Linked DNA regions of Saccharomyces cerevisiae S288C. The gene in region 3 interacts genetically with the main gene of each other region. Each region holds a gene or a part of one and is shown on either strand. Other genes may lie near its edges.

Region 1 (5,092 bases), 830 kb from region 3:
TCGGTATACTCTGCCTAATAAACCTTAATTTTCTTACAAAAAAAAAAAGATTCAATAAAAAAAGAAATGAGATCAAAAAAAAAAAAAATTAAAAAAAAAAAGAAACTAATTTATCAGCCGCTCGTTTATCAACCGTTATTACCAAATTATGAATAAAAAAACCATATTATTATGAAAAGACACAACCGGAAGGGGAGATCACAGACCTTGACCAAGAAAACATGCCAAGAAATGACAGCAATCAGTATTACGCACGTTGGTGCTGTTATAGGCGCCCTATACGTGCAGCATTTGCTCGTAAGGGCCCTTTCAACTCATCTAGCGGCTATGAAGAAAATGTTGCCCGGCTGAAAAACACCCGTTCCTCTCACTGCCGCACCGCCCGATGCCAATTTAATAGTTCCACGTGGACGTGTTATTTCCAGCACGTGGGGCGGAAATTAGCGACGGCAATTGATTATGGTTCGCCGCAGTCCATCGAAATCAGTGAGATCGGTGCAGTTATGCACCAAATGTCGTGTGAAAGGCTTTCCTTATCCCTCTTCTCCCGTTTTGCCTGCTTATTAGCTAGATTAAAAACGTGCGTATTACTCATTAATTAACCGACCTCATCTATGAGCTAATTATTATTCCTTTTTGGCAGCATGATGCAACCACATTGCACACCGGTAATGCCAACTTAGATCCACTTACTATTGTGGCTCGTATACGTATATATATAAGCTCATCCTCATCTCTTGTATAAAGTAAAGTTCTAAGTTCACTTCTAAATTTTATCTTTCCTCATCTCGTAGATCACCAGGGCACACAACAAACAAAACTCCACGAATACAATCCAAATGAGTTCCGTCAATAAAGATACTATTCATGTTGCTGAAAGAAGTCTTCATAAAGAACACCTTACCGAAGGTGGTAACATGGCCTTCCACAACCATTTGAATGATTTTGCTCATATTGAAGATCCTCTGGAAAGAAGAAGATTGGCTTTGGAGTCCATCGATGACGAAGGTTTCGGTTGGCAACAAGTTAAGACCATCTCCATTGCTGGTGTTGGTTTCTTGACAGATTCTTATGATATTTTTGCCATTAATTTGGGTATCACTATGATGTCCTACGTTTACTGGCACGGTAGTATGCCAGGTCCAAGTCAAACCTTGTTGAAGGTTTCCACTTCTGTTGGTACTGTTATTGGTCAATTTGGTTTTGGTACTTTAGCTGATATTGTTGGTCGTAAGAGAATTTATGGTATGGAACTTATTATCATGATTGTCTGTACCATTCTGCAAACCACTGTTGCTCATTCTCCTGCTATTAACTTCGTTGCTGTTTTAACATTCTACCGTATTGTCATGGGTATTGGTATCGGTGGTGACTACCCACTATCTTCTATTATTACTTCTGAATTTGCCACTACCAAATGGAGAGGTGCCATCATGGGTGCTGTCTTTGCTAACCAAGCTTGGGGTCAAATCTCCGGTGGTATCATCGCTCTTATCTTGGTTGCTGCTTACAAGGGCGAACTAGAATACGCAAACTCTGGTGCTGAATGTGATGCTAGATGTCAAAAGGCTTGTGACCAAATGTGGAGAATCCTTATTGGGTTGGGTACCGTTCTAGGGTTGGCATGTTTGTATTTCAGATTAACTATTCCAGAATCTCCTAGATATCAATTGGATGTTAACGCTAAGTTGGAACTTGCTGCTGCCGCACAAGAACAAGATGGCGAAAAGAAAATTCACGACACCAGTGATGAAGACATGGCAATTAACGGTTTGGAAAGAGCTTCTACTGCCGTCGAATCTCTTGACAATCATCCTCCAAAGGCTTCGTTCAAAGATTTCTGCAGACATTTTGGTCAATGGAAGTACGGTAAGATTTTGCTAGGTACTGCTGGTTCATGGTTTACCTTAGATGTTGCTTTCTACGGGTTGAGTTTAAACAGTGCTGTTATTCTGCAAACCATCGGTTATGCCGGTTCCAAAAACGTTTACAAGAAACTGTATGATACTGCTGTCGGTAATCTGATTTTGATTTGTGCTGGTTCATTACCTGGTTACTGGGTATCCGTCTTCACTGTCGATATAATCGGTAGAAAACCAATTCAATTAGCCGGTTTCATCATCTTGACCGCTTTGTTCTGTGTCATCGGTTTCGCATACCATAAACTTGGTGACCATGGTCTGTTGGCTCTTTACGTCATTTGTCAATTCTTCCAAAACTTCGGTCCAAACACAACCACCTTTATTGTTCCTGGTGAGTGTTTCCCAACTCGTTACAGATCTACTGCTCATGGTATTTCTGCTGCATCTGGTAAGGTCGGTGCCATTATTGCACAAACCGCTTTGGGTACTCTAATCGACCATAACTGTGCTAGAGACGGTAAGCCAACCAACTGTTGGTTACCTCACGTCATGGAAATTTTCGCCTTATTCATGTTGTTGGGTATCTTCACAACCTTGTTGATCCCAGAAACTAAGAGAAAGACTCTAGAAGAAATTAACGAGCTATACCACGATGAAATCGATCCTGCTACGCTAAACTTCAGAAACAAGAATAATGACATTGAATCTTCCAGCCCATCTCAACTTCAACATGAAGCATAAAAGCCTCAAAGATGCACTAAAACTTGTAAACTAGAACAAATAATACAAAAACATTTTTATAAACTTATTATCAAACCCCTTACATAATCTATAAATACTGTCAGGTTACATATTTATTCGATAATTTCTTTTAATTTCATTATTTCCTCACATCTCTCTGCCATCCTGTTGGCTGGTGCCAGAGCAGAGCATATCGTCCTTTCTTTTTTAGTTCCAGACGTTACCCGACATATCATTTCTCGAGCCTCTGGAAACCACGAAACGTTTTACAAATTGCACATCTAAAAGAAATATAAACACAGATCAGGTATCTCATAAAGTACATTAATCGACTAAGCAAGCGACTTGAGACAATGAGAGAGGTCATTAGTATTAATGGTATGTATGCGTTCCTTTTTTTGTTCAATATTCGCAACCAATGGCACCTGTGGGACAGGGAAAGAAGTTTGATCTGATCTGGTTTGATTCATTCCCAATTGGTCACCATCTGGTTGATTTACGGCAAATAATTTGACTTGTACCAGCACAGTTTACTAACAGTTTCTTTTTCTCCATTTTTTCTGGGCATACTCGGACGAAAAAGCTCATAATTGACCTCATTACATGGGGAGTGATTTTTGTGTCTTCTTCTTCGGAGGATTGCTGGAACTTTTGTTATTTTTCTTTTTTACAACAGTTGGTCAAGCAGGTTGTCAAATAGGTAATGCATGCTGGGAATTGTACTCCCTAGAGCATGGCATCAAGGAAGACGGCCATTTGGAGGATGGCTTGTCAAAACCTAAGGGAGGTGAAGAAGGATTTTCTACATTCTTCCATGAAACGGGGTACGGAAAATTCGTCCCAAGAGCAATCTACGTGGATTTAGAGCCCAATGTTATCGATGAAGTACGTACAGGACGTTTCAAGGAGCTTTTCCATCCAGAACAATTGATTAACGGTAAGGAAGATGCCGCCAATAACTACGCAAGAGGCCATTATACAGTGGGTAGAGAAATAGTGGATGAAGTTGAAGAAAGAATTAGAAAGATGGCCGACCAATGTGACGGTTTACAAGGGTTCTTGTTCACCCACTCCCTCGGTGGTGGAACTGGTTCCGGTTTAGGTTCCCTGTTATTAGAAAACTTATCGTATGAATACGGGAAGAAATCCAAATTGGAATTCGCCGTTTATCCTGCGCCTCAATTGTCTACTTCCGTCGTGGAACCTTACAACACGGTTTTAACCACGCATACCACCCTGGAACACGCAGACTGTACGTTTATGGTCGATAACGAAGCCATTTACGATATATGCAAGAGGAACTTGGGAATTTCTAGACCAAGCTTCAGCAACTTGAACGGGTTGATTGCCCAAGTGATATCATCTGTTACAGCCTCTTTGAGGTTCGATGGTTCATTAAACGTGGATTTGAACGAATTTCAGACCAACTTGGTACCATATCCAAGAATTCATTTCCCTTTGGTTTCCTACGCACCCATCTTGTCCAAGAAGAGGGCCACCCATGAATCCAACTCCGTGTCAGAAATCACAAACGCTTGTTTCGAACCGGGCAATCAAATGGTTAAGTGTGACCCAACAAAGGGGAAGTACATGGCTAACTGTTTGTTATACAGAGGTGACGTGGTGACCAGAGATGTCCAAAGAGCCGTCGAACAGGTGAAGAATAAAAAAACAGTACAAATGGTGGATTGGTGTCCAACAGGATTTAAGATTGGTATTTGTTATGAGCCACCAAGTGTGATACCAAGTTCCGAATTAGCCAATGTGGATAGAGCTGTCTGCATGCTATCCAACACCACTGCCATCGCGGACGCTTGGAAGAGAATCGATCAGAAATTCGACCTGATGTATGCCAAACGTGCTTTCGTCCATTGGTATGTCGGTGAAGGTATGGAAGAAGGTGAGTTCACCGAAGCTAGAGAAGATTTAGCTGCCTTAGAAAGAGATTATATTGAAGTGGGTGCCGATTCTTACGCTGAGGAGTTCTAAGAAAGTGGCTCTGATCCCGATACCCACTTATAGATTTATATTTACTTAATGTCCATATGTATATACATATATATATATATATATATATACGCTTATATATATATATGCATATTCTATCCAAATAAAGATACCTCTAATTATCGAATTATTTTTCACTTACCTTTAGGTGTACAGTTAGAACAATAGCTTATTAAATTTATTTTTTTCCCTATGTTCCGCGGAATATTGAAAAATTTGAAAATATTCTAAGACAAAAATACCCATAAAAAACAAAGAGTTTTGAGCTCATCTCGTTGCCACCCAAACTTATCACAAAAAAGGAAGCACTCCAAGAACCGCGTGAAGAAAATGTCAAAAGAAGACATAGAAGGAACTAACATTCTAGACGAACCTGTCCACGGGATCTATATTCCTGCCGCGCTATTCGTTGTTGGTGTTGCAATCACCACGTATATGTCTGGTGAATTGAAAATCCTGTGGAGTTTACCCATTCTCTTCAT
Region 2 (7,201 bases), on a different chromosome or scaffold from region 3:
ATTGACCAATCTAACATTGCTACGGTTAGGCATTTGTGAGTTCATTGTGTTATTATTGACAGCTAAACCAGAGTTCGTTGCTGTCAAAGGACTTTGCACTTGAGACATTTTTGGAAAACTATTTTCTTGGCTTATATGCTGTGTTCAGTAGAAACAACAAGTTTTGTCTATCAAAATGGAGAAAAAAACTTTCTAATATGATCTGCACAGAAACACGAAACACAACCACGTTCTTAAATCTCGAAAGAGAAAAACAATATCAAACGAAAGAAGTAATTTCCGTAAAGAAACTCTTTTTTTCTGTCTGAAAAAAAAGGTACTTAGGAATATATGCGGATTACAAAGGTATACAAAAAAAACTCTATCTCATACACAATAACTTAAACTTGCTTTTTATTATCATGTTCTTTACTTTTCTTTAATTTCCCTCCTGAAAAAATTAAAAATTTTTCATTACTCATTTTGTGGAGACACCCACAGCCCACACTTTAATGAGTGTTCTAACGTTCAAGGTTGATATTATCACCAAATTTAGCATACAGGATCGCCTTCAGAGCATCAAGACGGGAATCAATGTCTCTTTGCTTGTCCTCTAAAGTCTCTATTTTGTTGTCGAGACGTTCTGCGTCTTTTTCGAGCTGTGCGGTAACTTTGCTCTGTTTCATGAAGATAAAGAGGTCGCCCACCTTGTATTGCACGGGCTCATCTTCGTCAATCAATTCAATTTCTAGAGACACATCATCGAGGTACTCCTTCTCCTCCCTCTGTAAACTCAATTCCTGCGCAATGGCGTCCTTACGCATAATCAACTTCGAAAACTCGTTGATCTTTTGCTGATCTTCGAACGTTACCTGAGTGTTGTTCCTTTGTCCCTGTGGTAACAGTTCCATAATGGTCCTCTGTTAGTTTCTTGGCGTTGTGTATTCTGGTAGTTTCCGCAGGACCAAACAGAGCATAAGTCCTCTAAGTACTTAGCTTCCTGTAAAATTGTATGAAAAGCCGCCTCTGCTGATCATGAATGACGGCCTAGCGTTCCTCATATGATTTAGATAAAAACATAGAAAGGTATGTTAATAGTACGAGAGAATTCGGAGACCTTAGGTTTCACAACTGGAATTGGGTTAACTCGTTGAGTCACTGTCGAATGTCCGAAGAAGTATGGAATGGAAACCAAGGAATCCTCTCCGTATATGTGAGCAAAGCTAGAGACTTGCCTAATTTGAATAAACTGGACAAGCAAAATGTAATGCTTAGGTTGCGAATAGCTCATATGACAAGAGCCAGCAACACTCTACATCGAGCAGGTCAAAACCCTGTTTTCCATTATTTAGAAAAATTTGATATTACTCCAGAGATAAAGCCTTTAATGTACGTCGAAGTTTACTGCGATAGAAGGAAAAAATCTCCGCTGCCAATTGGAAGATGTGAAATAGACCTTTTAAATGCTATTAGAGCAGACCCGAAGGAGGGTTATTGTACCTGGTACGAACTGAAAAGAAGTGGGGATGAATTTGCTGGCACTATATTCATTGAGTTGACTTTCACTCCCAAAGTACCTCGTTTAAACAGGGACGATCTTAACAAAGAAATGGACAGGTTGGATTCATCTATGGCTATGAGGCCGATACCACCATTGCCAACAGAATCAGAGTATGACTATGTTCATGGTTCTACGATGAGACAGATTACTCCCCAGTGTGTTAGCACAAGTCACGAGGATAAGGATGAGGGACAGCCCTACAGAAATGGCAATGTTTTCTCCATGTCATCTAAATCAGATACAGCGGTATTGGCAAATAGTAATGACCCAATAATTTTACCTCCAACTTTTTCAGCATCCATGGGTACAACGTCTACATTAGAAACTAATGATACTGCTATATCAAACACTTCGAATACAAAATTCCATTTTGCCAATTTAAGGAAATTAAAGGAGAAGATAAATATATTTAAGAATCCTGATAGTTCAACAAACAACTGCCAAAATGAATCTAACAAGGTAGATATTGAGGCACTTCAAAAGGCTATTGGTGTAACTTCGTTGTCTTACGACGAAGATGATGACGATGACGACGAAAATGACGCATTTTATTCTTCCAGCCATAGAGTCTCCCACAACTATAACCAACCGCCCTTACCTCCTATACCGACCAGAGATGATATGTCCAATTATTCAAGTTCGCGCAATACGCCGTTAGTAAGAAGAGATAGACCCTCACGCCTAGATTCCTCTTCGCCTAACTCACATCCTCATCCATCAGGCCTGAATTCTCCAAAACTACCACCTCTACCGACTACTTCGAATTCCAATTTTAATTCGAGGAAGAATTCGATGTCTCCTACAAGAAAAAGACCACCTCCAAGGCTCAGCTAATGACAAGAGAAACATGCTGTTATTGTAATACTAATATTTAAATAGAATTAAGATTTTTAATGTTTACCAAGATTTTTTCTTTTTTAAATTTTATTATTTCAATATGTATACATAAATCTGTTGCGCCCTCACCGCCGATCTAAACCATAAAGAAAAATGCTAATTGTACAAATTCTGCTTTGAAGAATATCCAAAAATATGGTAAAGCGGTATAAATTTTCAACTAAAAGGCGGCCTCTTCATTTGGATCCTCTTCATCACCGTAATCATCATCGTCACCATTGTTGAAATACTTTTCAGCATTATAATCATCATCATCTTCTTCGTCTTCATCTTCTTCGAAATCATCATCCGCCAAATCATCATCTTCTCCTTCGCCTGTTTTACTTCCTTTTGCTGCCCCATCACCCGTCGACGCATCATCCACATCTTCTGCCAACTCCTTTAACTTTGCCAGCATGGATAGTCCGATGTTTTCATCTTGTAAACCTGTACCAGTAAAAACATCATCGGCATTATTAAACTTGGAGATTGCCAATAATTTTTTCTTGTTGATCCCCATTACATTGTACAATTCATTGGGAAAGAGGTTCAAATTATACGGATGATCATCAATAGAAATACCTATTTTCCTTTTTTTCAAATATTTATCGGAATATCTTTCAATGCCATCATTAGTATCGTCTTCGTCTAGGATTATGTTGGGTTTGCGTTTACCGCTCTTGCTGTTTTCCTGTTGATCTATTATCAAGCTCATTGATCCGGTATAAAATGGGCCATCTTTAACAGTCTTTCCAAAATTGATGTACTTTACTGCTAAAGATCTTTCCTTATTTGTTATAGGACCATTGATGGGCAATGGGATGGATGGAAATTCCGTAATATGATTTTTGCCTACATCTCCATAACCTAATCCGAAGGGTAGATTGCTCATATAGTTGCTCCCGCCACCTCTACTGCCGCCCCTATAAGAACTCATGTTTGTTCGGGGTATATATGCTCGGTACTATCAAGTTACAATATCTTTCTGTCGTGTTGTTTTCTATAGGTTGCTGCGATGAGGAAACTATTTTCTTCTTTGAGATTTTTTCAAATTTCTCTTCATTTTTCATGCGGCCGCACAAGAGTTGAAACCACTGACGAAAGCAATTTCAGTTCATTGAGTTACACCTAGCGAGGCACTTCTTTGTGGAATGGTAGCCATTGTATTGAGATTTTTCTTGTCGACCATCAGCCTTTTTCTTCATAAGAGAAAAGAAGATCTCGTTCATGACTGCTAATTACTTTGAACGATCACCTCTGCAATGTGACATTTGTTCGAAAGCCGCCCATTAGTATTGAAAATAATTTATATTTTCAATTGGCTAGACTACGAAATTTGGACAAGCCATTGCTGCGTAATCCTTTCTCTTCTACGTCACAGTACATCTCTTTAAACCTTTTCGTTTCTCGGCTGTTTAAGGAAAGTATCGTCTTGCCGTATCTACATAAATCAATTCTTACCCATTTTCTTTTGCATTCTAGCCGTTAATTCACGGCTTAGTCGTTTGATATCGTGTTTGAATTGTGAATTGCATCATTCATGCGGAATGGGAATCATCGCAGTCGTTATCCGTCTCACAAACGTCGGCATTTGCTGACTATTAAGGCGACACGTAACCTACAAACTCAATTTGAGACGCAAACGCAAGTTGATTAGACGTTGAGAATGATGCAAGTAGCAACATCGGTAATGGTTAGACTATTTTATCAGAAAACTATAGAAAAACTAAAAACAAAACAATGTCACAATGACAAAGAGGAACCCATACATACACAGAGAGCCTATTCTTCCAGTAGTTCCTCAATATCAGCATCACTATCTGGGTCCAACCCTTGGTTTCTTCTCTTAGCCTCTTCCAAAGCGTTTTCAAACAACTCCTGTTGTCTTTTAACTCTTCTTCTAGTTTTCTTACCCCAACCGAAAGAAGTTGTTTCTGCTGTTGCAGCATCATCTGGCTTGTCGATCAGGTCTTTTGATCTCTTTTCCTCTTTGTCTCGTTTGTCCTTTTCCACTTGGGCAGCCAACTGCTTCTTCGCCAATTCCCTGGATGCGATATTTCTTAAGAGTAAATAACCACCTACAATTATCACCAATCTTATAAAGTGCTTGTAGTCATAGTTGACTAGTTTTGCCATCCAGGTATCCACCCATGTTTCCGCTACTTCAGACATCTCTTTCAATTACTCGGCAGTTTTTCTCTTCATAACATCTTTTCCTCATACAAACCGCCGAGTGCACATAAATACAACTACAAATAATAATATGTTGACATCGGATGGAGATCACTAACTAAACCGCCACCGCGCTAATTCTGCACAAATTCAAATTTCATCATCGCTCTCCACGTCATCATGGACGTCTTCCACCTCGGCGGATTCTTCGTCTTTTGATAGAATTTCCACAGCCCGCGGACGCACAAACGATCCGTGACCCGGCGCCACAGGCCCAAACAGTGTTACCCCATTTATGCGCCCATCGTTTTTGCCTGCGGCTTCCGGGAATTCCACACCGCACCATGTGCCCATCACGTCCAACGGTAGTGGTCCTACGTACCGTAAAATGGCCTCACGTGGAGCGCTCCCGTCTACTGTGACACGACAGTGGCGGCCGATAGCCGCCGTTAATTGCTCTCGGGCATATGCTTCGTCCTGCTTTGCCAGCGCAGCGCGCTGGCTCTGCTGTGCAGCATTAAACCTACCATAGCCGTGAGCCATCTTCCATCGTAATACGGATTGATCCCTTCGCAAATAATCCTCCTCGCTAATTACTTCCATTGAGGGGATTCCTTCCGCTTGCGTGGCCAGCTGGTTAGAGATTGATTGGGCATTAGAGTCTGTAACAACCACAATAAGCTCCTCCTCTCCTTTTAGGAAGTTGGCATCTTCATCCTCATTTGAATAGGCACCCCCCTTTTTAGTACTATATATCTCCTTGTTGTCGTACTGTCTTTTCACAACTATTTCCATATCCTCTGGTTCCACTCCGGTAACATGGTACAATCGGTCCTTGAACTGCCTTAATTTAAGCGAATTTGGTAATTCCTTTTCTGTACGGACCAATTCACTCTCTATGACAACTCTAACCATAGTTTTGCCATGTAATTTTTTTTTCTATCTCTTTATTTGAATTCGTTGCTCTATGTTCTTGTCGCTTGTCTTCTTCAACTGCCGTTTCCCTGCGAGCCGGAAAAAAGTACTGTTCTTTCGAACAAAGGCGAAAAAAGCTGTAGCTGAAAACAGACAACTGGGAAACGACAATTAAGAATACGCATGTACGTGTATACTACTACAGTAAAAAAGAAAGTTATTTGAGAGCAGCACTTTGTTTACTACACAGAACATTAACCAAAAAAACATGCATCAGCAACACTCCGTATGTTTCACTTCTTATTTTCTTCCGTGGCAATAACCTTCCTTTTGACTTATTTATACTAACATTATAATAACTATGTTTCCTTTTTGAACTAAGAAATCAGAGAACAAACCACAACAGCAAAGGAAAAAATTCGAAGGCCCTAAAAGAGAAGCTATTCTGGATTTAGCGAAGTATAAAGATTCTAAAATTCGCGTCAAATTAATGGGTGGTAAATTAGTTATAGGTGTCCTAAAAGGCTATGATCAACTGATGAACTTGGTACTTGATGATACAGTAGAATATATGTCTAATCCTGATGATGAAAACAACACTGAACTGATTTCTAAAAACGCAAGAAAGCTAGGTTTGACCGTCATAAGAGGTACTATTTTGGTCTCTTTAAGTTCCGCCGAAGGTTCTGATGTACTATATATGCAAAAATAGGTTTAATAATATAATCTCATATAAACTCCCTTCCTTACAGTTGAAAACAAAATCAAATCACGGTATGGCATTTCTTTACATATTCTCAATACCTGACTGACATAGTATGCGCTACATAGTTTTGTCCTATTTTTTTTACACCGCGATTTGAAGTCTAAAGCCAGAGAATGAGGAAAAACGAAACAAACTGAGATCATTTGTATAAGGGGAGTCACTGTACAGCTGCCAATACCAATTTTCCTTCTGCCAAATCAAAAAAGTATCCGCATACACATACACCCCTCCCTCTACAATCTTAATTATTTACTGATTCCTTTCGTATTTGTCCAGTATGAGCAATACTAAGCATACCACTTCTCATCACATGGAACTCAAAAGGATCATTATCCTTACACTTTTATTCATACTCATAATGTTGATATTTCGAAACTCAGTGTCCTTCAAAATGACATTTCAAGAACTACTGCCACGATTTTACAAAAAGAATTCAAACTCAGTTAGTAATAATAACAGGCCCTCATCTATTTTCTCGGAAAACTTGGTGGATTTTGATGATGTTAACATGGTCGATAAGACCAGACTGTTTATTTTTTTATTTTTCAGTTTCATCATTACTATACCGTTTATGGTATAAATTAGAAAAGTTAAAGCAGCATGTTTTCATTTGAAACAAATACTAATGCAATAATAGGTACACCATCTACTACATAATTAATTGATAGTTTCCTTTTCCGTTAAGTGCATGCATAGGACGCCCATAATTTTTTAAGTTAAAAAAGCATGTATTTACCTATTCGGGAAATTTACATGACATGGATGCCATAAGGAACGAAAATGAAACATGCATGTCAGAGGAAAAAGAACAAAGCGAGAGGAAAAAGCTGTTGCATTACCACGTAATTTTGTATATAAATATCTGATAAATAACCATTTTATTTCCATCCACTTCTTCTGTCGTTCATCCGTTCATTGACATCACTAGAGAC
Region 3 (3,237 bases):
ACAGACAATCTTATTTTTCCAACGAAGAAGGTCATGTTCTGTGTGATGTTTTCGGTCAACCCATCACACAGGCAGATATATCGAATCCAACTAGGGCAAGAGACGAAAGACCTTTGGACACTATAAGAAGTTTCGAGTATGCTGTCTCCGGAGACCCGGTCTGGGCCCAACAGTTGGAGACTCCAACTTACGGGTTCCGCGTAAGACCTGATTTCCCTGTGTTTGGTGCTGCTGTGACTTACGATGCGAACGGTATGCCACAGCAAGTGGGTGGTGCTTCCAGTCAAATGTATGGTGAACAAGCAGTGTATCAGCCACAACAACACGTACAGACTGAGGAAAAGCAAAAGAAGAAGAAGAAGGGATTGTTTGGTAGAATGAAGAAGAAATAAGCGCTTGATACCCTTTAGAGACTTTATTTTTTTCTTTTTTATGATAATTTCTGTTTTCCGCTCTTATTTTGGATATTTCATATTTCATATTGTTATTATTACTATTATTATATATACATACACACACATATTTTCAATTTTTTTGTCATATGGAGACGAAAAAATGAAGAATGAAATTAAATTGGTTTATAAAATTATTTCTCCGCCTTTTATTTGCTATTTCTCTGTAGAGCTTCGTCTTCGAGGGTATCAATTTTACGCCTGATCTGCTCCATATTTTCGCGAATTTTAACCTCTTGTTCATCGAATTTTTTATCCAGCTCATTTAAAGCCTTTAGCCAAACTTTTCCTTGTTCTTGGATGCTGGTTATTTGTGAATCCAGCCCTTTCGTGGTTTCGTACACCTCGATCACCCTGTTGTTCATTTTATTGAGACTTTTCATCCTCTCCGCCAACAGTGGTAGTGAATCTTGATATTGCTTGAACATGGAATACATACTATTTATCTCCTTTACTTTGTTTTCGGGCATAACAAGCTTGCTCACGGTGTCATCTTTCAACCTCAAGTCCTGTTGTATTTTCTTGCCTAACAATGAGTTTTCAAATTCCTCGTTCAGTTCTACGAGTCTATCCCGGAACTTTTGCAGCTTTCCTTCCGCCTTATCATCGCCTTGTAAAAGTTGAATACTTCTATATAGTTCATTGACTTTACTATGAACCGATTTCCTATCTTCTTCTGCCTCCAAAGCTTCTGGTATGCCAACAAAACGTTCCATTAGGGATATTTTCTGATCTAACTTTTGCAATCTTTTGATATTACTCGTATCAAGAATTATGTTTGGCAATATGACGGTATCTTGGCCTTCATATGTTTCGAGAAGCTTCTTCCTCAAATTTGTCAATCTACTAGATGATTCCGTCGCCAATTTTGATTGAATTTCGCACAATTCCTTGATTTCAGTTTGCATTTCAGATGTTAAATTTTCTATTTTCAACTCCTCCAATTCTTCTCTTATTCTTTCTAATTTCTGTTGCCGACTTTCATCTTCTTCATCGTTACTCAACTTTCTCGCATCTGCACAGTCTGATTGGTTTTGTCTATGTATCTTGAAAAGCAACTGATCTCGAATAGCCCTTCTCAAACTCTCAACATCTCTCCCTGGTTCAACGATGAGCCCATCTTTTCTTGAAGATGCTTCTTCCTGCTCTTCTTGTTGTCCATCTTCCTTCACTTCATTTTCAAAAATTTCTTGAGATTCCTCATTGTCAATGCCAATCAAGCTATCATAATCCACATTGATGGCAGGATCACTTAAATCTATGACGTTCATCAACCAGTAGATTTCTTTATCTTTCTTAGCCTCATGACTTATCTGCTCTTCTTTTTTTTTTTGAAATGCATTGGCTCCCAAAAAAGTAATAGTACATCTATACTTGTAAACACTATTATTTGTGCTGGAAAGATGGCCCCTCAATTGGAGTCCTAACTTTGATTATACAAAAATGCCACTGAAACGCTCCTTAAAAGAATCAATCGAAAGATTATCTAGTTTTCAATCAAAATATAATATTTTCACTAGTATCAATCCATCTCCTTATTCAATCACAAATAAAAAAGGTACAAAAGAAACATTGACAGGTTGCGTTGCCAGTATCAAGGATAATATAGTTACAAAAGATTTTCCAACCACATGTGCCTCACATATACTTGAGAATTTCAAGTCTCCCTTCGATGCAACAGTAGTGAAACTATTAAAACAGGCAGGAGTGCATATCTTAGGCAAGACAAATTTAGATGAATTTGGAATGGGTTCTGGGGGAGTACATTCAATAAGAGGGCCCGTAATTAACCCTTTATATCCTCATGAGGACAAGAAGATCATGGGAGGTTCATCGTCTGGAGCCGCTGCAAGCGTTGCTTGCGATCTAGTCGATTTTGCCTTGGGAACAGATACTGGTGGCTCCGTTAGGCTCCCCGCATGCTATGGATCTGTTTTAGGATTCAAGCCGTCCTATGGACGGTTGTCAAGATTTGGCGTAATAGCGTATTCTCAATCTTTAGACACTGTTGGCATACTTAGCAAAAAGATAAACGTCTTGCGAAAAGTATTTCATACGCTCGATAAATATGACATGAAAGATCCCACTTCCTTAAGTGTGGAATTGCGTGAATTGATAGAAGGGAATAAAAAGGTTAGGAGACCTTTAAAGGTAGGAATTGTAAAGGAATTTAGCCATGAAAGTATGCCCATTGGGTTCCACAGATTATATTTATCCTTACTAGAAAAGCTGATAAATTTAGGGCTTGAAATATACCCTGTATCCATTCCATCTGTAAAAAACTGTTTACCGATTTATTATACGCTATCACCCGCTGAAGCGGCTTCCAATTTATCAAGGTATGATGGTATCAGATATGGATACAGAGATTCAGAACTCGATATAAAAGACGGTATTTTATTCGCACCTACTAGGTCCAAATTCGGAACAGAAGTTAAGAATAGAATCATTCTAGGTAATTATAATCTTTGTTCAGATGCATTTAAGAACAATTTTATTAAGGCAGAAAAGCTACGAGTTAATTTGATCGATGAATTTGACGGGATCTTCAGATTTCCAAATGTTTTAACTAATTCTAAGGGAAATCCAGACGGCCTAGATCTACTGATAGTTCCCACATCGTCCAAGCTTCCTGGATCCATAAGGGACTTCGAAGAAGAGGAAGCCAAATCTCCGGCTAACTCGTATATAAACGATGTCTTTACTGTCCCAATGTCATTGGCTGGACTACCAAGTTTATCAATGCCTTTAAAAGAGAAGACCCCGATTGGCTTACAGGTAGTAG
Region 4 (6,230 bases), on a different chromosome or scaffold from region 3:
TTTCGTTTTTCAAAAATTTTGTTAGCTTCCGATTTTCATTTTAGGAAAATATGTTTCTAGATTTTTTTTTTTCAAATTTTTCAATTTTTTTATTATATCTGTTTCGAAATTCTGTTTTCTCATGAGAGAAAATAATAAAATGATAGATTAGAAAGATGATCCTGGGCAAAAGAGAAAGTAATTCGATGGGATCAAAGAAAAAATAAGGAAAAAAAAGTTTTCACTAATACACTGCCGAATACGGAAAGTAGTTTCGCTCAAATCTTGAATGATTTATTGTGTCATCCATTGACTTCCAGCCAAGATGATGACCGTAAGACTGATTATGGACGTGAGGGGGAGGTAATTGTGGAGCGGCAGGTAAAAGTGAGTGTTGTTTTTGTTGTTGCTGTTGTTGTTGACTACTGAAATTGTAGAAGTCGTAATCAAACTGAGTTTCCGAAATTGGTGAAGAATATATATTGGGGAATTGTTGATAGTAATTCAATCTTGGCTGATTATAGTTGTAATAGTTATAATAACCATTCATACTAGAAAATTCAGACCTTGAGTTACTCTGATAAGATGGTGATGAAAACATGTTATGCGGCATCAGCATGGGGGTTTCATAATTGGAAACTGGAGATAATAGGTTGTTTGTGGAAGTAGGCTTCAAGTTGAAATTTACGTTTCTCGTATCACCAACGTTGACAATTGGAGATAATAACGTAGGAACCGCTACAGCAGGTTTGAGTTGATTTTGCTTGAAAATCTCAAAATTCTTGACGAACTCAAAATAAAGAAAAGCACTATCATACAATTCCCAGTTAAATATTCTCAACCATTGTCTCTCGAAATCATTGATAACATTTATCAGTATTCCTGTTGCCTGTGACCATGAGTTATTGGTGAAAGTTTTGTCATCGTTGAACTTGTTTGCTAATATGAACGCAATCATAGTATTTTGATAAATGATATTGATCGAATTGCCACCAATTGAATGTATCCCATTAGATAATTTATTGATATACTTGAAAAGATAATCTATAGCCAAAAAAATAGTAGCTGAAGGCAATCTCGTGGCATTCAACACAGAAGATATGCCCTTGAAAAAAAGATCAGTGGTCTGGTCATCAGTACTATAGTTCGCGTTGAAGGCAACAAAGGCATTTTCCATGATAAATTTTGACATTATAGAAATATCGTAGTCCAAGTTCTCACTGACGCCCCCATTTACTTGGTTAGATTGTTGTGGTTGTTGTTGTCCATCCCGAATCATTTGAACAGGAGGAGGAATAACGTTGCTGTTATTGTTACTAGTGTACATTAGGCCCGGAGGGGGAAGGATAGGTGGTTGCTGGTGCTGTTGAAGTGGTGCAGGAGGAGCATAGTAAGTAGAACTTGGCTGATTGAAGTAACCTAAAGAAGCCATGGATGGCAACTGAGTATGAACTGATTGCGAGGGAACATGACCTAAATATTTAGGCAGTTGCCTAGCAACATTAACAGCAGAAGTAGCCGAACCTTTCGGAAAAGGCAAACTAATTGGATAACCACTAGAATTACCCATCGTTTCAGGATAATACTTGAAAGTATTAGCCATTTCTATATGAAGGGGGGTTTGTTGGGGGGAGGGGGGCTGAAGACGAATTAACTCAATAACTGTCTTAATAATGTTAAAGAAAAAAAAAATTCCTTGTAGTGTATAAGCTAAACGCTAATAAAGCTGGTTTAAATGTGTGAAACGAAGTCTCTTCGAATACTGTAAAATAACCCCACTGAATATACACAAACACACAGAAAAAGGATTAAAGTTAATAAAAAAAAACGACTCGAAGACTTAAAGGCAAACCTTCAAGTAATGCAGTCTCTGTAAAAACAACAGCAAACACAAATTTGCTAAATTTTGCTTAAAAGAGTCTCCTGAGAAACGTTTTCTTTTAATTTGGGTCAATAAAGGAAATTAACCCAGTAAAAGGCTTTAGAGAAAAAAAAAAGGAAGAAAAAACGAGAACGAGAATCTAGTATATGATCCTTGTGCGTTTTTCTTAAAAGATCAATGATTTGTGGTGCTTAGTTTCTTTTAGAATCTCTTAGAAAGTAGGTAATGTGTCTAATGACTAAAAGCAATTATTCACTTTGAACCTTTTCTCGTGCCAAATAAATTCAAAAAAAAGAAATTAAAGAAAAATTTTTCCCGTAACCCGGAATTAATCAACATAAATGCGTTTAATGCTGGCGGAAAGAAGTTATATTCGATAGTTTACGTAGGATATGTATGTTATTTCCTGGCAGTGGCCAGTAGACTTTGATGAGTAAGAAGGGAGGAGCGCATCTTCCTTCTTGGAACCGCTGTAGTCGGAGCGGAGGGGGTCGAGGGCCCCTGCTCATTGAATGTGGTATCTTGCATACTTACGTCCACTTCACTTGCAATGGCGTCTTGATCTTGGTGTAGTTCTGGTTCTAGCTCCGGTTGTGGTTCAATCATAGGGCTGGGACTAAGGTCGGGACTCGTCCACTTTACTTTTTTTTGGGAAAAATTTTGCCGTTGTAGGGTCTCAGCGGGAACAGCCAAGTCAGCTGCCGTCGTGTTTATTATATTTATATTTGTGTTTGTAAAATTGCTATCGGGATTGGCGATAAAAGTTCTGGCAAAAGATTCAAACTCCTCGTCGATATGAACCAGGTCTTGAATTATGGATTCAATGTTAGGTGTCCTATTCATCAGCCACTTTGATAGAAATTTAAATCGGGAGTTCAAACCCGGATCTGACATTAATTTTTCTGTCATTATGGAGGAATTAACCAAGATTTCGTTTCTTTGTAATTCTGATATTTGATTTAAACACGACTCCAAGTACACCAGGTCGTAAGTTTCATCCCAGTCCTCCATCTCTCTTAACTTGTTCAAGTCAATGGAATGTACCTGATGAATGACGGAACTCAGAGTGTCGGTTTCATCAAATTTCATTTCTAACTCGTGTATTTTGTTATAAAGCTGACCACTGATCATTCGGCAATTACTAATCACCGGCTGCATCTCGGCGGCTGTACTTTCCTCCCGTTCAAATAATAGTATCAAATTATCCACTTCTAGCTTGACCATTTGCAAAAACCGCCTTTTACAAAGTATTAATGATTTCAAGGTCTTGGCTACTTGATACGTTTCCACTCCTGCATACGTTTGCTGAACACGATTGACGCACTCGTTAATGGCTAACTGGATCTTTTCTTTGTTTAGTTTGTATTTCGTTAGCTTCAAAGAAATCATCTTCTCTTCACGTTCGCGTAACTCTTCGATTTGTCGCTTTTGTTCCGTAATCATTTTCAAATAAGATCCAACGTGTCTACTCAAAGACTGCTGATTTCTGATTATTTTGGTCTTTATTTCTTTAGCACGATTTGCATATTTCAAAGTATTCAATGTCTCATCATAATGTGAACTGCTGGGCGATATGCAAACAATCATGACTGTTTTGCAATTGCCACCCAGTGAAAATTTCAACAGCCTAGTTAACTTGGAATCCCTGTATGGAATATGACAGCTTCTGCTGCCATCATTCAAGCACAACGCGTTAATGCAATTGCCCAGTGCTAGTAGGGATCTATTTATATTCGCACCTTCGTGTAATCTTATACCACGGTTTCTTGTTGCGGCGGCTCTTTCGCTCCCAGCTAGATCGATTATTGAAAGTGTAGCAAATGTATGTTGCGAGGTCAAGTCTACAAGCTTATTTGTCTGCATGATGTGTATTTGCAGCACTGCATGAGATCGTGAAGATACTTCGTTTGCTTCCGTCGGTGACGTAGTCCTGTTTATGTTTCCCTGGACAACTAAGTCCATCACATCTTCTACCGTATTTGGGTGGTGATACGACAAATTCGCCACTTTGATGTGGTTCTGCGTATCTTCTCTAATGACCAATCTTTTAGATGGTGTCTCTGGTTTCAAAAGGTCTCTGATTCTTTCATTGTATATTTCCAAGTAAGACAGTGAAATCTCGAAGTCTTTTTCGTCCTTCAGGTCTGTAATTTTATTGAATAGTTCCTCCATGGCTAGAAATATGATCCCCGGCTGTGAAGGTGTGCCACTCACAGTATATGTCTTGCCACAACCAGTAGCACCGTAAGCAAATACGGTACTGTTGAATCCATCTAAAACAGAATCTAGGAGCGGGCTGGTGGTCTCTTTGTATACACGGGCTTGGGAAGAGGTTTCATCAAACAATTTATCAAATACAAACTTGATTTCGCCACCGTGCCTTCGACGTTGCGAAGAAAATTTGTTCGTAGCATTGCTGTTATTGATAGAGGACGCAGTGGCCTTAGTGGCCCTTGCACGCATCGAGTTCAGGACCTGATCACTCACTTTGTTCAATGGGTTTCTATCAGCTGGGTCGAATATGAGCATTCTATCATCCACACAATCCACAATTTTACGTATACCCTCCGGTCTAATTACTTTTCTCCTCAGCAAGCTATTTCTTTTGCTCCGCGTAGAACCTTCTTCAGCGTCTATGTCTATATCGGAGTCGGAGTTATTACTCATGGGTAATATTAACGACGAATCCCCCAAACCGGGAAAGTTAGCTTCTGCACCACTAGCTTCATTGACCAATCTTGTTTTTTCCATTGACGTAAAGGGCCTTACTCTTATAGCTACGACTATGGAGGATTGTCTTGTTTCAGGCACGTTCATGTTAGTGTCAATAGTATACAGCTGGAAAGAAAACTCAAGTAGTTAAAGAATGCAATGAAATGATAATCAGATAAACGATGCAATCAGGGAATATGAAAATTTTAATATAAAAAAAAAAAAAGAAAAATCAACAGCTTCGAAACACTGATCTGGACTTTTTTAACCTGCAGATATTTGTTACACGCAGATTATAAATTTTGTCTCTATAGGAACAGCTGAACACTATACTGGATACCGATGTTCTACCGACCAGACGTGAATGTATCTGGTCCTTTTGTATCCAAGGATAAGACAAACCAAACCCATACTAAAGTCATCAAACAAGGCATAATACAGGTAAAATAAACAAAACAAAAACTAAAAACACGGCTAGCTAAGGGAAAAAGTAGTAATGACCTAGGGTGAATAGCTTTTTTCAATTAGGTTTTTCCTTTTTTGTACTATATTAAATAGGGCTAAACTGTTTTAAGCATAGGGCAAAGAACTTATAAATTAGGTTTGAAAAAGGGCCATGAAGCCTTGTAGTAAAAAGAGACCAATTAGAAGAGTCATGGAAGATTCGTAAAACATAGAAACAGTAACAATTATAACAAAAAAAACACAACTGCAAGAAACTTCAGCATCGTCATGTCATTTAGATTCAACGAAGCTGTGTTTGGTGATAACTCTTTCAATGAACGAATACGGGAAAAGTTATCTACGGCTTTGAACTCACCGTCTAAAAAGAAATTAGATATCTTGAAAAGCGGAATTAAGGTACAGAAGGTGGATTTTCCTACAATACCACAGCTAGAAATTCTGGACCTAGACATTATCACGCAGCCCAAGTCTCTGGCCAAGGGGATTTGCAAGATTTCATGTAAGGATGCTATGTTGCGGATACAGACAGTCATAGAGTCGAATCTTTTATTGATTAACGAACAGGATACACCCAGCTTTACCATGCCCCAGCTCATCAATAATGGATCGTTCACAATTCCTATAACTATGACGTTCAGTTCCATCGAGCTAGAAGCCATCACGAATATTTTTGTAAAGAACCCTGGAATTGGGATATCCTTTAATGACGTTGATTTGGATTTTAAGTTTGATTGTTCTGTAAAAATTCTCCAAAGCACCATTGAGAGAAGGCTAAAAGAGTCCATGCATGTAGTGTTCAAGGATGTTCTTCCTTCTTTGATCTTCAACACGTCACAGAACTGGTTCACCAATCGCGGCGAGAGCACCAGTACCATCCCTGGTAAAAGAGAGCATCATCATCAACAAACTACAATGTCTAGGAATGTAATCTTGGACGGATCAGATTTTCAAGAGCTTTCTCCAATAAACATGCTACGTCTTTCAAGCATTGTGTCGTCGAGGTCAACACTGTCACTACATTCCACTGTGATGAATTCTCTTTCCGCTATACCTGGTTGCTTGGAAAGACAAAACTTGTACAGATTTATATCAAGGATGCCCTCTTTAAACAATTACTACTCTTCGCAATCATTTCCACAACCAAAGTCATCAACCGTATCATCAAAACAATTGGTAAAGCCATTCTACTGTT

The links.
Region 1: mutations in JNM1 (region 3) and TUB3 together harm fitness more than expected from each alone (negative genetic interaction), as found in Saccharomyces cerevisiae (5 studies listed by BioGRID, with this or other methods).
Region 2: mutations in JNM1 (region 3) and GIM3 together harm fitness more than expected from each alone (negative genetic interaction), as found in Saccharomyces cerevisiae (7 studies listed by BioGRID, with this or other methods).
Region 4: mutations in JNM1 (region 3) and KIP3 together harm fitness more than expected from each alone (negative genetic interaction), as found in Saccharomyces cerevisiae (6 studies listed by BioGRID, with this or other methods).

The regions. Positions count from the first base shown.
Region 1 is NC_001145.3:21,548-26,639, reverse strand, and holds TUB3 (alpha-tubulin TUB3), read left to right. Parts: upstream 1-2,956; coding exon 2,957-2,981; exon of another isoform or gene 2,982-3,076; intron 3,077-3,279; coding exon 3,280-4,592; downstream 4,593-5,092. Other genes in the region: YML122C (uncharacterized protein), read left to right, coding at 222-602; phosphate transporter PHO84, read left to right, coding at 840-2,603; PGA3 (cytochrome-b5 reductase), read left to right, coding at 4,941-5,092. UniProt on the Saccharomyces cerevisiae protein: Tubulin is the major constituent of microtubules, a cylinder consisting of laterally associated linear protofilaments composed of alpha- and beta-tubulin heterodimers.
Region 2 is NC_001146.8:345,169-352,369, forward strand, and holds GIM3 (tubulin-binding prefolding complex subunit GIM3), read right to left. Parts: upstream 891-7,201; coding exon 501-890; downstream 1-500. Other genes in the region: serine/threonine protein kinase YCK2, read right to left, coding at 1-108; INN1 (Inn1p), read left to right, coding at 1,145-2,374; RPC31 (DNA-directed RNA polymerase III subunit C31), read right to left, coding at 2,598-3,353; PGA2 (Pga2p), read right to left, coding at 4,199-4,588; ALF1 (Alf1p), read right to left, coding at 4,739-5,503; Sm-like protein LSM7, read left to right, coding at 5,772-5,789, 5,886-6,215; YNL146C-A (uncharacterized protein), read right to left, coding at 6,218-6,412; YNL146W (uncharacterized protein), read left to right, coding at 6,547-6,849. UniProt on the Saccharomyces cerevisiae protein: Binds specifically to cytosolic chaperonin (c-CPN) and transfers target proteins to it. Binds to nascent polypeptide chain and promotes folding in an environment in which there are many competing pathways for nonnative proteins.
Region 3 is NC_001145.3:855,452-858,688, reverse strand, and holds JNM1 (Jnm1p), read right to left. Parts: upstream 1,724-3,237; coding exon 602-1,723; downstream 1-601. Other genes in the region: GSR1 (Gsr1p), read left to right, coding at 1-392; glutamyl-tRNA(Gln) amidotransferase subunit HER2, read left to right, coding at 1,896-3,237. UniProt on the Saccharomyces cerevisiae protein: Component of the dynactin complex which assists cytoplasmic dynein by increasing its processivity and by regulation of its cargo binding.
Region 4 is NC_001139.9:83,333-89,562, reverse strand, and holds KIP3 (tubulin-dependent ATPase KIP3), read right to left. Parts: upstream 4,679-6,230; coding exon 2,261-4,678; downstream 1-2,260. Other genes in the region: CLG1 (Clg1p), read right to left, coding at 224-1,582; ERMES complex subunit MDM34, read left to right, coding at 5,306-6,230.